Linked DNA regions of Neodiprion lecontei. The protein of the gene in region 2 interacts with the protein of the main gene of each other region in a pairwise test. Links are inferred from orthologs where the notes say so. Each region holds a gene or a part of one and is shown on either strand. Other genes may lie near its edges. The genes, in order: trimethyllysine dioxygenase, mitochondrial; GTPase Era, mitochondrial.

Region 1 (6,537 bases), on a different chromosome or scaffold from region 2:
AAAACGGTATAATGATACCGAGACCACGTAACCCAGTGAAACGTATCGAAATAGATAGTCCTATACAGGAATTACCCAACACTGAGAACGTGAAGACATGGTCCGAAGGACCGATTAGAATTCTTGCTCCACCTAAGTTGGCTTGTCAGGAGTGCGAGGAGGACATAGATGAGCTTGAACATTACCCGTAAGATTACCCGTCGGTTTTTTGGTCGTAGAACTAATTTCGTACAATGATTGCTTCGATTGTTATATGACCGTATGGTGTAATACTTAATAATTTACAGCGGTGAACAGAAATGCTTGCACTGCAAATACTCGACGTGCTGTTGGCGAGCTTTCAAGGAACATCAGCAACAGTTTCACAATGCTAGACCACTGACCGGCTTAGCAGTACTTTCACCACTGCTGAACATACCCTTGGAAAATAAAATGCAGTGTCCTTGCGGTTTTTCGTCGGTTGATGGAAACCAATTAGGTATTAACGTATATTCATTCATTTACTACTGGTTTGAGATCATTTTTTATATCCAATTTTATATTCTGATAACATCTTTCGGTTCTTTTGCAGCGACGCATTTGATCAAATGTAAAAGGATATCAGCTTACCCTACCGAGGATTCCGAGGCGACTGGAATGTTAGACAGTTTGGGATTGGTTCCCAAAAATATTCAAGACGTATGGGTGTTGTAATATTGCAAAATGTTAAATGATGCAGGGAAACAAGTTCCGTTTCAATTTTTTTTTCCATTATCCTTATGTGCTGTTTAACCACTACTGGATATAAATATAGAATAAAATAAACAGTATTCGTTAAATCTGGCAAAATTTGATCTACTTCATTTAAAATTAGCTTTTTGCTGAAGCAAAGCAAAAATTCTTCAGATATAAAAAAATTCAAAAATATGAAAGGACTAATTATTATGAGGTACATGTAAATGTTGTGGTTTTTAAGGACCTGGAAGGTACAAACAGTCTTCATCAAAAGCCACCCAGGATTGACAGAATGGAAAACCGACACAACGACGAGGAGAATTCTGTTCAGCCATTGACTTGTGAAAAAACTGACGGAGATTTAGCGATGCCTGATATTACCGTAAGAACAAATATGGAATTGAATTCTACTACTGGCATTAATGGTCGTCGGGCAAAAGCGTCTACCTCTACATCAACAAGGTTCGAACCTTCCCTAGAAGACAATTTGCCAGAGATCGTTGAGGACAGACTCTTGCCATCATCTGGAAAGAAAAAAAAAGTCTGATGTCGAGATCTCAAATATTGTGAAGTGAGGATTTTAAGGGACGTGAAAATTGAGTCTAGCAAATTTCTCGGTAAAACCGGTAGACTTCGTGAATAGTGTTTACGTTAATTTTACGGTATTTCGATTAACTAACAATAAGTATGAAAATAAAACTGAGTTTTGAACGACTTTAAGCTTCGTTAATACCGTTCGTAATCGTTTGCGTTTGCACCTTTTCTTTTACGAGTTACAGATTAGCCAAGCACGACAAGCTTCACTGAATAAGAGAAGTTTCCAAAGCGTGATGCCATGTATAATAACTGTTCTGATTTGTTTCCCAATTGTATAATTTCTTGTAATTTTTTCACAGACATTGAAAATTAGAGACTATATTATTACATACGGTAGAAAAATTTTGCAAACGTCGTTCGGCGCGATGTATCGAAACATATTATAAAAATTTTCGATACTCAAGATCATTCTAGAATTACCTATGCGAGACCCAACGTTTTCGAACATACTACCGATAGCAAGTACTAAGGATAAATTTGACAATGTATCGATAAGTATGTTACGATTAATCCTAATAAGTCTTTCTTTTCTACCACACACGTTATATTTCCGTTGGACATTGGATAAAAATTAATAGAAAAAATTTGTCGTATCATTACGTAGTGGGCTGATTTCTCAGTTAATTCGCTTGCTCATCTGTTGAAAATTAATTGATCATACACACTCGTGCATACCTTCAATTATCAAGCAGACCCATGACTGCAGCTCTACTTCGCCAATCGGTACGTGACACGTAACCACCAGCAAGTAGTCTGGAACCAGAATACGCGGTCCGGCCATGCATTACTCTCCAGTTGTCAATGAAAATTACTTCTCCAGGCGAAAGTTTCACGCGGGTTTCCCCCTCTTTGTCGGCCACAATAGCAGCTATGAGGCGCAGATCGTTATAGTGTTGCTGTATCTGATCACGAGGAAGAGTTCTCAGCACAGAACGATCGTAGAGATTAAATCTGTGATAGGGATTTGATATTTTTATTTAATTTGATTTATTTTTACTTCATTTCGCTGCTCCCTCTCGATACAAGAATGGAAAATTCTAAGAGACCAGCCAACCTGATTTGCAAAAGCTCCCTAGTGACGGGGTGGAGTTTCAGGATCGGATCCACGTGCGTATGGTGCTGACCTTCTTCCACATAGGTCGCAGAAACCGGCATCCGCGTCAGTCTCTCGTAAGATTCCGGATACCTCTGTTTCAGCTGCATACTAACGTTCAGGCCATCTACGAGGAGCGTTTCTCCTCCGATTCTCGCAGGCTCCAGACCATGAAAAACTTGCAGGCTGAAATTTGAAAGCTCGTTGTCTGTGGGATGTTTAAAAAATTTCAAAACACCTCTTACTTACCCTGCAGCGTCGCACCAGTAAGTATTGTCTGTATGAGCACCAAGGGCGATGCTTGTGTATGCAGTGTCATAGTGCGGCTTTATGTCGGTCTCCGATGCGACTTCACTGGCATCGGCAATTTCCTCGTTATGAACTTCCCACATTTCGCCGAAAAAAGTTTTTTGTACAGGCGCCATTCTGGTTATCAATTTTTCGGTAACGGCGAGAGTAGCTTCTACCTGAAAAAAGCGTTCAGCCTCGTCATTCACAGAAGATAATGAAACGGATGGTCATTTTTGTGAAGTGTTTCTATTACGGTAACATCGGTATTAAAAACCTAAAGCTTCATACCCTTCATGTAGCATAATGTAATGATTGTTGTACTCACACCGGTGACAAACGCCACTCCATATCTCAGCAGGGACGAAAGAACCTCGGATAAACCTGCGTCCGTGTTCATGTAGGAATTCAATTCCACCCTTGCAACATCCGGGAGCTTGAACCAAGGAACAGGGGTAATTTTTCGCTCTTGGTTGTCGCCCAAAAATCTAGCATTCTTCACCAGCCAAGAAATTTGGTATTTTGATCTGTGACCTCCGTCCCCTTGAAATCGAGACGATATGACGGTCATGAAACTGTGCGAGCATTGCCTGATAGATATTTTTTTACGCATTAAATAATCTTACAAATGACGTCGAGCACTCCGTCAGAGAGATTGTATTCACGAGGAAATACATCCGGGGGAAAATCGAGAATACTGAGCTTGCGCTGATTCGTTGTATCATTGTAGCATTCGGCACATCTGGAAATGTTCCAGAGAATCGTTATTATGCGTAAATCGGTCCGATTTCATTGGCTAATTCCACTTATTCATACCTGCAATGATCGCGCAGCCACTGGTGGAAAATTGTGATTGGCTCTGCATTCGGGATTTCGAGTTGAAATCCATCCTTCAATAGGGAAATCTCTGAAGCATTGAAGTATTTCGTACAGTATCACAGCGTATAGTAACGAAGTATTTGATAAGTTTACCTGCTTTTTCCATTGACGCAGATGTCACAAATGATCAACACACACACACACACCAAGCGTGTAAAGAAACGTTGATCTATGGTCTTCTCAAGGCAACACGACGAAGTGACAGTTGGAAATGATTAGAATGGACAGCGACCCTCTAAAAGTATAACTCTGCTTATCGGAAGTGTAACTGACACACATGGGCGGGGTTATCAAAGCGTGTAGAATATCAATAAAACTTTGTATCGTAATGCTAATAATTATATTGCAAACAGTACAAAGATTAAAATGCATATAGTTTGCTCGGACATGATTTTGAATAATATGTCCACAGAAGATAGGGAAACAGCGAAAGAGAGTTTTAGCTGTGATAGAATTTCAAATCACAAAATCCAGCTACCGTTAATTCATACGAAATTCATTATTTAAGATATGCTATTATCATATTTTACTTATTTTTAACTTTTAACATTAAAAAAATACATATTCGGTCTGCGTTATTACAATAAAAACTTGAATTAATGAACTATCCTCCACTCATTTCTTGATCCTAATATAGGTTCACGGCCTGTTGTTTATTTATTAATTCGAAATTATAGTTAATAATCTATCAGGCCCATGACTGTGGCTCTGCTTCGCCAGTCGGTGCGAGCCACGTAACCGCCAGTAAGAAGTCTGGAACCTGAGTACGCAGTCCTGCCATGCAACACCCTCCAATTGTCTATAAAGACTACTTCCCCAGGTACAAGTTTTACCAGGGTTTCGCCACTTTTGTCGGCTATGACGGAAGCGAGGAGGCGAAGATCGTGGTAATGTTGCTGGATATGATCGTAAGGAAGAGTCCTTAGCACAGTACGATCGTAGAGTTGAAACCTGTGGTCGAAAACGGCGGATGCGAATTACTTCATTTGACAGACTTTTATCGTGACAATACGAAACGGTACAAACTGTGAACAAAGTTAACCTGATCTGCAAAAGCTCCTTAGTGACAGGGTGGAGCTTCAGAAGCGGATCCACGTGAGTGTGATGCTGACCCGGATCGATGTAAGTTGCGGAGATTGGCATCCGAGTCAATCTCTCGTAAGATTCCGGAGACTGCTGTTTTATCAGCATACTAACGTTCAAACCATCCACCAGGATCGTCTCTCCTCCTTTTGTCGCCGGTTTCAGGCAGTGGAACACTTGTAGCCTGAATTTTTTAAGGGTGAATCATTCGAACCGTCTGCATGTACTGCGGTCAAATGTTGCAGGAGAAGAAAAATAGCGTTTAAAAACTTATCAGGCGTGTTATTTGCACGAAAGATAGTAAAAACGAATGCAGCTACATTCTTACTATAAAATCATGAATTTATACGAATTTTAATAACACAATAGATGTAAGGTATTAGCAATTGGAGAAAAGGTTTCATAGCCGAAACGTTCAAAATGATTCGACTTTGGCGTCTTTTATTAGATTCGAATGTTACCGAGCTTATTTTATTTTAACCGTAGAGACCTGTAGAGATTACCGGAAAAACGTTTTACAAGTAATCATCACCAGAGTGGATGAGATAATTTCATTTGTGCATGTATAACTGATCGTACTGCAATATAAGATTTCTCGAATTTTTCTCAGGTAATTTTCGACAAATGACCCCAAAACATTGGAATCGGTTAAACAACCAACAAAGTTCAACCACCTTGCACACTGTAATTATAAAGCCTAATTTGCTCAAATTGTTGATACCATAGCCTGTGTTATTTTAATTGACGCAGATTCATTTCGATTAAATAATAAAAGTATTGTTTCATTCGCGTTGACTATCATTAGAGTAAATAACATTTCTGGAAATTTCGTAACGGGCGTGTTTTCTGATTCTCAATTTCCGGATGATGTAGGCTGTATGTATGAATGGCATTTCCCTACATCTCAATCGCAAAACGACAGGACATTCGAGTAAACCTAAATGTATTTGGTTTTTCAACCCTAAAACCATATATCTGTGTACTCTTTACCCTGCAGCGTCGGACCAGGACGTATTATCCGTATGAGCATCAAGATAGTTGTTCGAGAAGGCGGCATCCAATGGCAGTGCAGTATCAAGTTTCGGAGTGACGTCACTGTCGTCTTCGAACTCGCCGTTGTGAATTTCAAACATTTCGCCGTAAAAAGTCTTCTGAACTGGCGCCATTCTGGTTATCACTTTTTCCGTCGCGGCTATGGTGGCATCCACCTGAAAAACGCAACATGGGGTTAAATTACATTTTTATCACACGTGCATGAAAAGTGCGGGACTCTGCGTAGCAATTTAGCGAGACGAACAAGTAGCCAATTTCATCTGTGCTGTAGATATGGGTTTGCGCACGCGCAGCCCACAGTTGACTCACTTTCGCCCCTAGGGAGAAAAAATTGACCAATCACGTCCCGCGACACTGCCAAGTAAGGCCCACTGCTTTTCATTCGCTTGTCATAAAAACTACCGTGTGTGCGTGATTTCACACTCGTCGCAACCGCCAAATTTCGGCCCTTGTAACGCAATATATTGTTCTCGTAAATTACAAATACTTGGCTTTTTCCGAACCCCATACTCACATGAGTGACAAACGCTACTCCATATCGCAGCAGGGATGAAAGAACCTCGGATAAACCTGCGTCCGTGTTCATGTAGGAATTCAATTCCACCCTTGCAACATCCGGGAGCTTGAACCAAGGAACAGGGGTGATTTTTTGCTCTTGGTTGTCGCCCAAAAATCTAGCATTCTTCACCAGCCAAGAAATTTGGTATTTTGATCTGTGACCTCCGTCCCCTTGAAATCGAGACGATAAAGAGGTCATGAAACTGTGCGAGCATTGCCTGATAAGATATTTTTTTACGTATTAAATAATCTTACAAATGACGTCGAGCACT
Region 2 (4,416 bases):
GTCATTAAGCTTTTACCGTTGACTTTCACTTTTTAGCAACGTGGTCACCGTACTGGGAACATTTGAAGGAAGCTTGGGCATTGAGGACACACCCGAATTTGCTTTTCCTTTTTTACGAGGATATGAACATGGTATGTTTCATAATTGAGCAGTGCTCCACATCCACATATACGGATGATTAACTACGATTTCACCGTTGTAGGATTTACCCGGAACCATTGTGAAGGTTGCCAAATTCTTGCACAAAAGCCTGACGAGGGAACAGATATTCAATCTGGTTGATTACTTGGACTTCAATAGTTTTCGGCAAATTTCAACCGTAAACGGGACAGAATTGAAAGAGTGCGGCGTTATAGCAAATACGAGTTTCATACGGAAAGGACAGACTGGAGGATGGATAGATACATTTACACCCGAGCTCGAGGCAGATGCGGACGAGTGGATAGCGAAAAATCTCAAGGACACGGATTTCACTTTCCCGAATTTCAATAATAATAATATTATAAGTATATAACGGCCGATTGTACAATGAGCAGTTGGAGAGGAAAAAATTGGTGCCACGAAATCGAAATCGAATCATACGCAGTTGGTAGACTTTATTGAACTACCAAGGAGTGTACAAGGAGATATAAAAGAATAATTGATACTTTGCTATTACTATATACACGCTGATGCTATCATGTAATTGTATACTTAAGTTACTCTTTTTGGCTGGAAAACCAATCTTACTCTGACGGTCTGTTGAAGATTCTTACTTAGTGTTTGTTCTACCTTTTCAGCCATATATCTCAACTTGCTTTTCAGTTTGCGAAGAATTAGCTTGTACAATCGCTCAGTGGGACATTCGATCAGAACAAAAGTATTGATGCTTCCATCCTCGCAAACGTTGTAATATTCCATCTGAATGTTGAGGTTGTATGGGATTTCTGCTGGAAGAACATCTAGGAGGCTGGCACGTACAATACGTATAATCATTTCTTCTGGTTTTTGATCAGTTAAAGTATCTTTTTCGTAGTCCCAGTCTCGAGGTTTTGCCGAAACAAGGAGGTATTCCTAATTTCCAGCATGAAATTAATCAATGTTGAATGAAATAATCTATGGAATCATAGGATTTTAATAATTAATTACTTACCCTTAAATCCGACACTCCGTCCCCATTCAATGCAGACAACATAAAGATATCTGCAAAGTTTTGCCATCCATTTTCACCAGTTAAGTGATTAACAAATTCTAACAACCTTCGTTTATTCTTTATCTGATCAACTTTGTTCATTAACAATAAAGTTGGCGTATCAGAATCCAACGTCTTCAACAGGTTTAGTACTTCTGGAAGTATCTCTTGTCTAAGTCTGGATCTGGATACATCGTGGAGAACACCTACAACATCTACCTGTTTTAGGGCGACTTCAGGGTCACTTTGGAAGCTACTCTCCAAGTTGTGACGTTTGACTTCTTGGGTCGTGACGACACCAGGCGTATCTACAAACACCAACTCTGTGGTGTCTGTGTGTAGGACGGCACGGCATGCCATACGGGTCGTGTGCTTCCTCATTGACGAGGCACATACCTGGTTTACAGAGGAGAGGTTAGCGACAGCAACAAATTTAATTGGTCTTTTTATGCAATTTCAACGCTTTCCTTGTACCTGATGATGGATTAGCTGGTTGATAAGAGTACTCTTCCCCGCGTTCGGTAGCCCCAATATCGCGATTCTCAAAGATTTGAATTCTTCCCTACGTACGTTGCTGAAATCATCGTCCGCTGAAACCGGGGCATCATATTTCTCAAGTCGTTCGGCGCTGTATAACCTAGCTACTTGTACAGGGGTGCTCCGTGTACTCGACGTTATAACTCGAATCAAGCATCTCCGGAACAAGAACATTTGGATCTCGGTGAGTCACGTATTTATAACAGTCTTTATACTGACCAAGCAACGGTGTAAATTGGATTACAAAGCTCACAAATCACCAAAAATCTCAGCATGTTTTGCTATTCGTACGTGTATGTATGAACGTAACGTGCCTACAACGTCGCTGCCGTCGGACCGGCACGCATGACTGGTGAATGACGATCAACAGTGCAAATGACAAGTCGCTAGAGATCAGTGGACAAAGGTATTTGCAGAGATTTACGGGACCGAAAAACATCTTATCCAATAGTACTTTCATAATGAGTCTAATGACCAAATGCATTCGTTAATCGTATTTCCGAAAGGAGTTGTTGAAAACAGTACTTTAGAAACATCTGCGAAGAATCGATTGAAACGGCGACGAGAAGATGGCGCGCGATACGCGGAAACGCTTCTGGAATTCGTCCGCTTCGGGGGCTTGGATCATATACTACTGAGGTAGTTTCGCGTGTCAGATAGTGTATCGGAGGAGTGAGAGAGAAAGGTACATGTGAGTTACAATCTGTCTCTTTTGCTCTACACCTGATTGGCCGATACGTTTCCTCTCAGCCAATAAAATGCCGAGTGAGAGAGACGGAGTAGTTCTGATGTATGTCTCACATTCTCATCACTTCAGCTGCATTTTTCCCGAGGTCGATGGGATGGGTAGCTCCCTCCGGTAGTATATGCTCTAACTTTGGGGGTGAGTAAGAGGAAAGATGGCGCATGCGCCCTGAGGCGCCCCGCGCCACCTTGCGAGTAGTCTGGTCTGTGGAAGTGATCGTGAAAAGCTTCTGAACGTTTGTGTATCCCGGTTGTCGAGTGATTTTCAGTAGTTCGAAAGCGTTCTGACGCCGAATTGTCGTGATTACTGTGAGTATTGACCAGCCAGTTTGACACAGCATACATTTAGCGGTAGTTTTAGTCGAATATATGCGATAATCCGTAACGTTTTCATCGCCAGACGTCAACGGGTCCTATCAAAATGGCCGTGGTCTGCGTATGTACAACAAAACGGTTCTTTAATTTTTCTCGCGATTATATACACACGAATTTACTCCCAAATCGCAACCGTTGAGATTTATTACCTCCGGGCAAAAGGCCTGAAAGAAAATTATCTCCCTGCCTCTCCCCGCGCCCCCGATCGGCTGTCAGAGGTTTGCGAACAAAGTTTCACGTCTCTTCTTGGAATTGATTTTTTCGCCAAGCTATGGCTTGCGCGGTACGTTGGAATTGCGATGACCGTCTATCGAAAACGTGTTACCGAGCTCTTGGTCCGTAGTTCTGTCGATCCAGATCAATTCCGCGTTCGCAAAGACTCTCGCTTCACATCCATTATCGATCCGAAACGTCGAATCGGAGTATGTATGCGTTTTAATTTTGACAGCGTATAGCCTGCCCTCCCACCCTCCCCATTGCGACCTGTGATCAGCTGTTAGTGCTGTCAACGTGCGCGTCTCGCGGTTCGTCACCAACGCTATGTTACCATGTTTTTTGTCGCTTGCAAAAATCTTTTAAATTTCTGCGCAGCATCAATCACACCGCGGGATATCTCTCATCAAGTTACAGGCTCTTCGATCAAAGAAATCCTCCCTCATTAGTGGAACGTAATATTTTTACGTTATTCCTCGGTATGTATGTATGTATGTATGTACCTCAAAAAATTCTCCCGCGAATGATTATAACAAGTGTGCGATAATAGCATCATCGAAACAGTTGTAAACAATGAAAGGATATTGTTTCGTGTCGCGATTTACTCGCCATTTTTTAAAAATTATTTCTCCTCTACCACGTGAAATGAATCATAGATAATTCGCAAGCTGCTGATAGTAGCCGCTTCTCGCTTCAAGAATCAGCTCCTTTTCCGACCGCGGTGCCGATTATTTCCAGCGCATCCGATGTTGTCGGATAGGTATTGATTGTCGCGTGGCATGCGGGGGCGACGACTAGGCGCCCGTCTTCGGAGACTGCGACTTATCAAGGTCTCCAAATTTCAATGTTTACTCGAGAATTTACGATTTCCGCATACGTCCACGTCTGGTTTTCAATTTGCGTCTCGTGCATCTTTGGCATCGATTTTGCACGCCGTCTTGTCAAGTGTATAAAAAATTATGGTATACAAAAACCAAGATTTTTTGTTGGTGAAAATTGTATCCGGTCCTCCTTTGTGAGACATTTTTTCACATTTTATAACTTCATATTACGCACTTACGAATGCCTGCCTTCAGCACGTGGGCATTGGACATAAGATATAATGGTCGCGCTTCCGAGACTTGAGAAAAGTTAAACGGCACGCACACGTGCGAAACGTGTGCCAGCAGTACAGAAATCGTTCCGTTCGCTGCTAAAATTCTTGCATGACGTAAGAAGAATCGGTGACGCCGAATAGCGCTTTTGTCCCACCTTCCCGGTTACTCTACTCATTCGGTTTTAATTTATGAATTGACGGCGATGGTCGATAGTCTGATGGTGGTCGAGGACACGAGATACAGGTGAAAGTATCAATGGATATTATTTTACGTGTATAT

The links.
Region 1: the proteins of GTPase Era, mitochondrial (region 2) and trimethyllysine dioxygenase, mitochondrial interact in a two-hybrid assay, tested with the Drosophila melanogaster proteins (2 studies listed by BioGRID). The link is inferred for Neodiprion lecontei from reciprocal best matches to the Drosophila melanogaster genes CG7488 and Tmlh.

The regions. Positions count from the first base shown.
Region 1 is NC_060262.1:1,985,688-1,992,224, reverse strand, and holds trimethyllysine dioxygenase, mitochondrial, read right to left. Parts: upstream 4,249-6,537; 5' UTR 3,678-4,248; coding exon 3,665-3,677; intron 3,600-3,664; coding exon 3,509-3,599; intron 3,435-3,508; coding exon 3,319-3,434; intron 3,236-3,318; coding exon 3,021-3,235; intron 2,872-3,020; coding exon 2,654-2,871; intron 2,591-2,653; coding exon 2,366-2,590; intron 2,263-2,365; coding exon 1,989-2,262; 3' UTR 1,987-1,988; intron 1,445-1,986; exon of another isoform or gene 1,262-1,444; coding exon of another isoform or gene 956-1,261; 3' UTR 694-955; coding exon of another isoform or gene 572-693; 3' UTR 518-571; downstream 1-517. Other genes in the region: uncharacterized protein LOC107226935, read left to right, coding at 1-187, 288-478, 572-678, 956-1,261.
Region 2 is NC_060264.1:3,220,647-3,225,062, reverse strand, and holds GTPase Era, mitochondrial, read right to left. Parts: upstream 2,274-4,416; 5' UTR 1,883-2,273; coding exon 1,646-1,882; intron 1,568-1,645; coding exon 1,133-1,567; intron 1,054-1,132; coding exon 694-1,053; 3' UTR 566-693; downstream 1-565. Other genes in the region: sulfotransferase 1C4, read left to right, coding at 37-131, 203-514.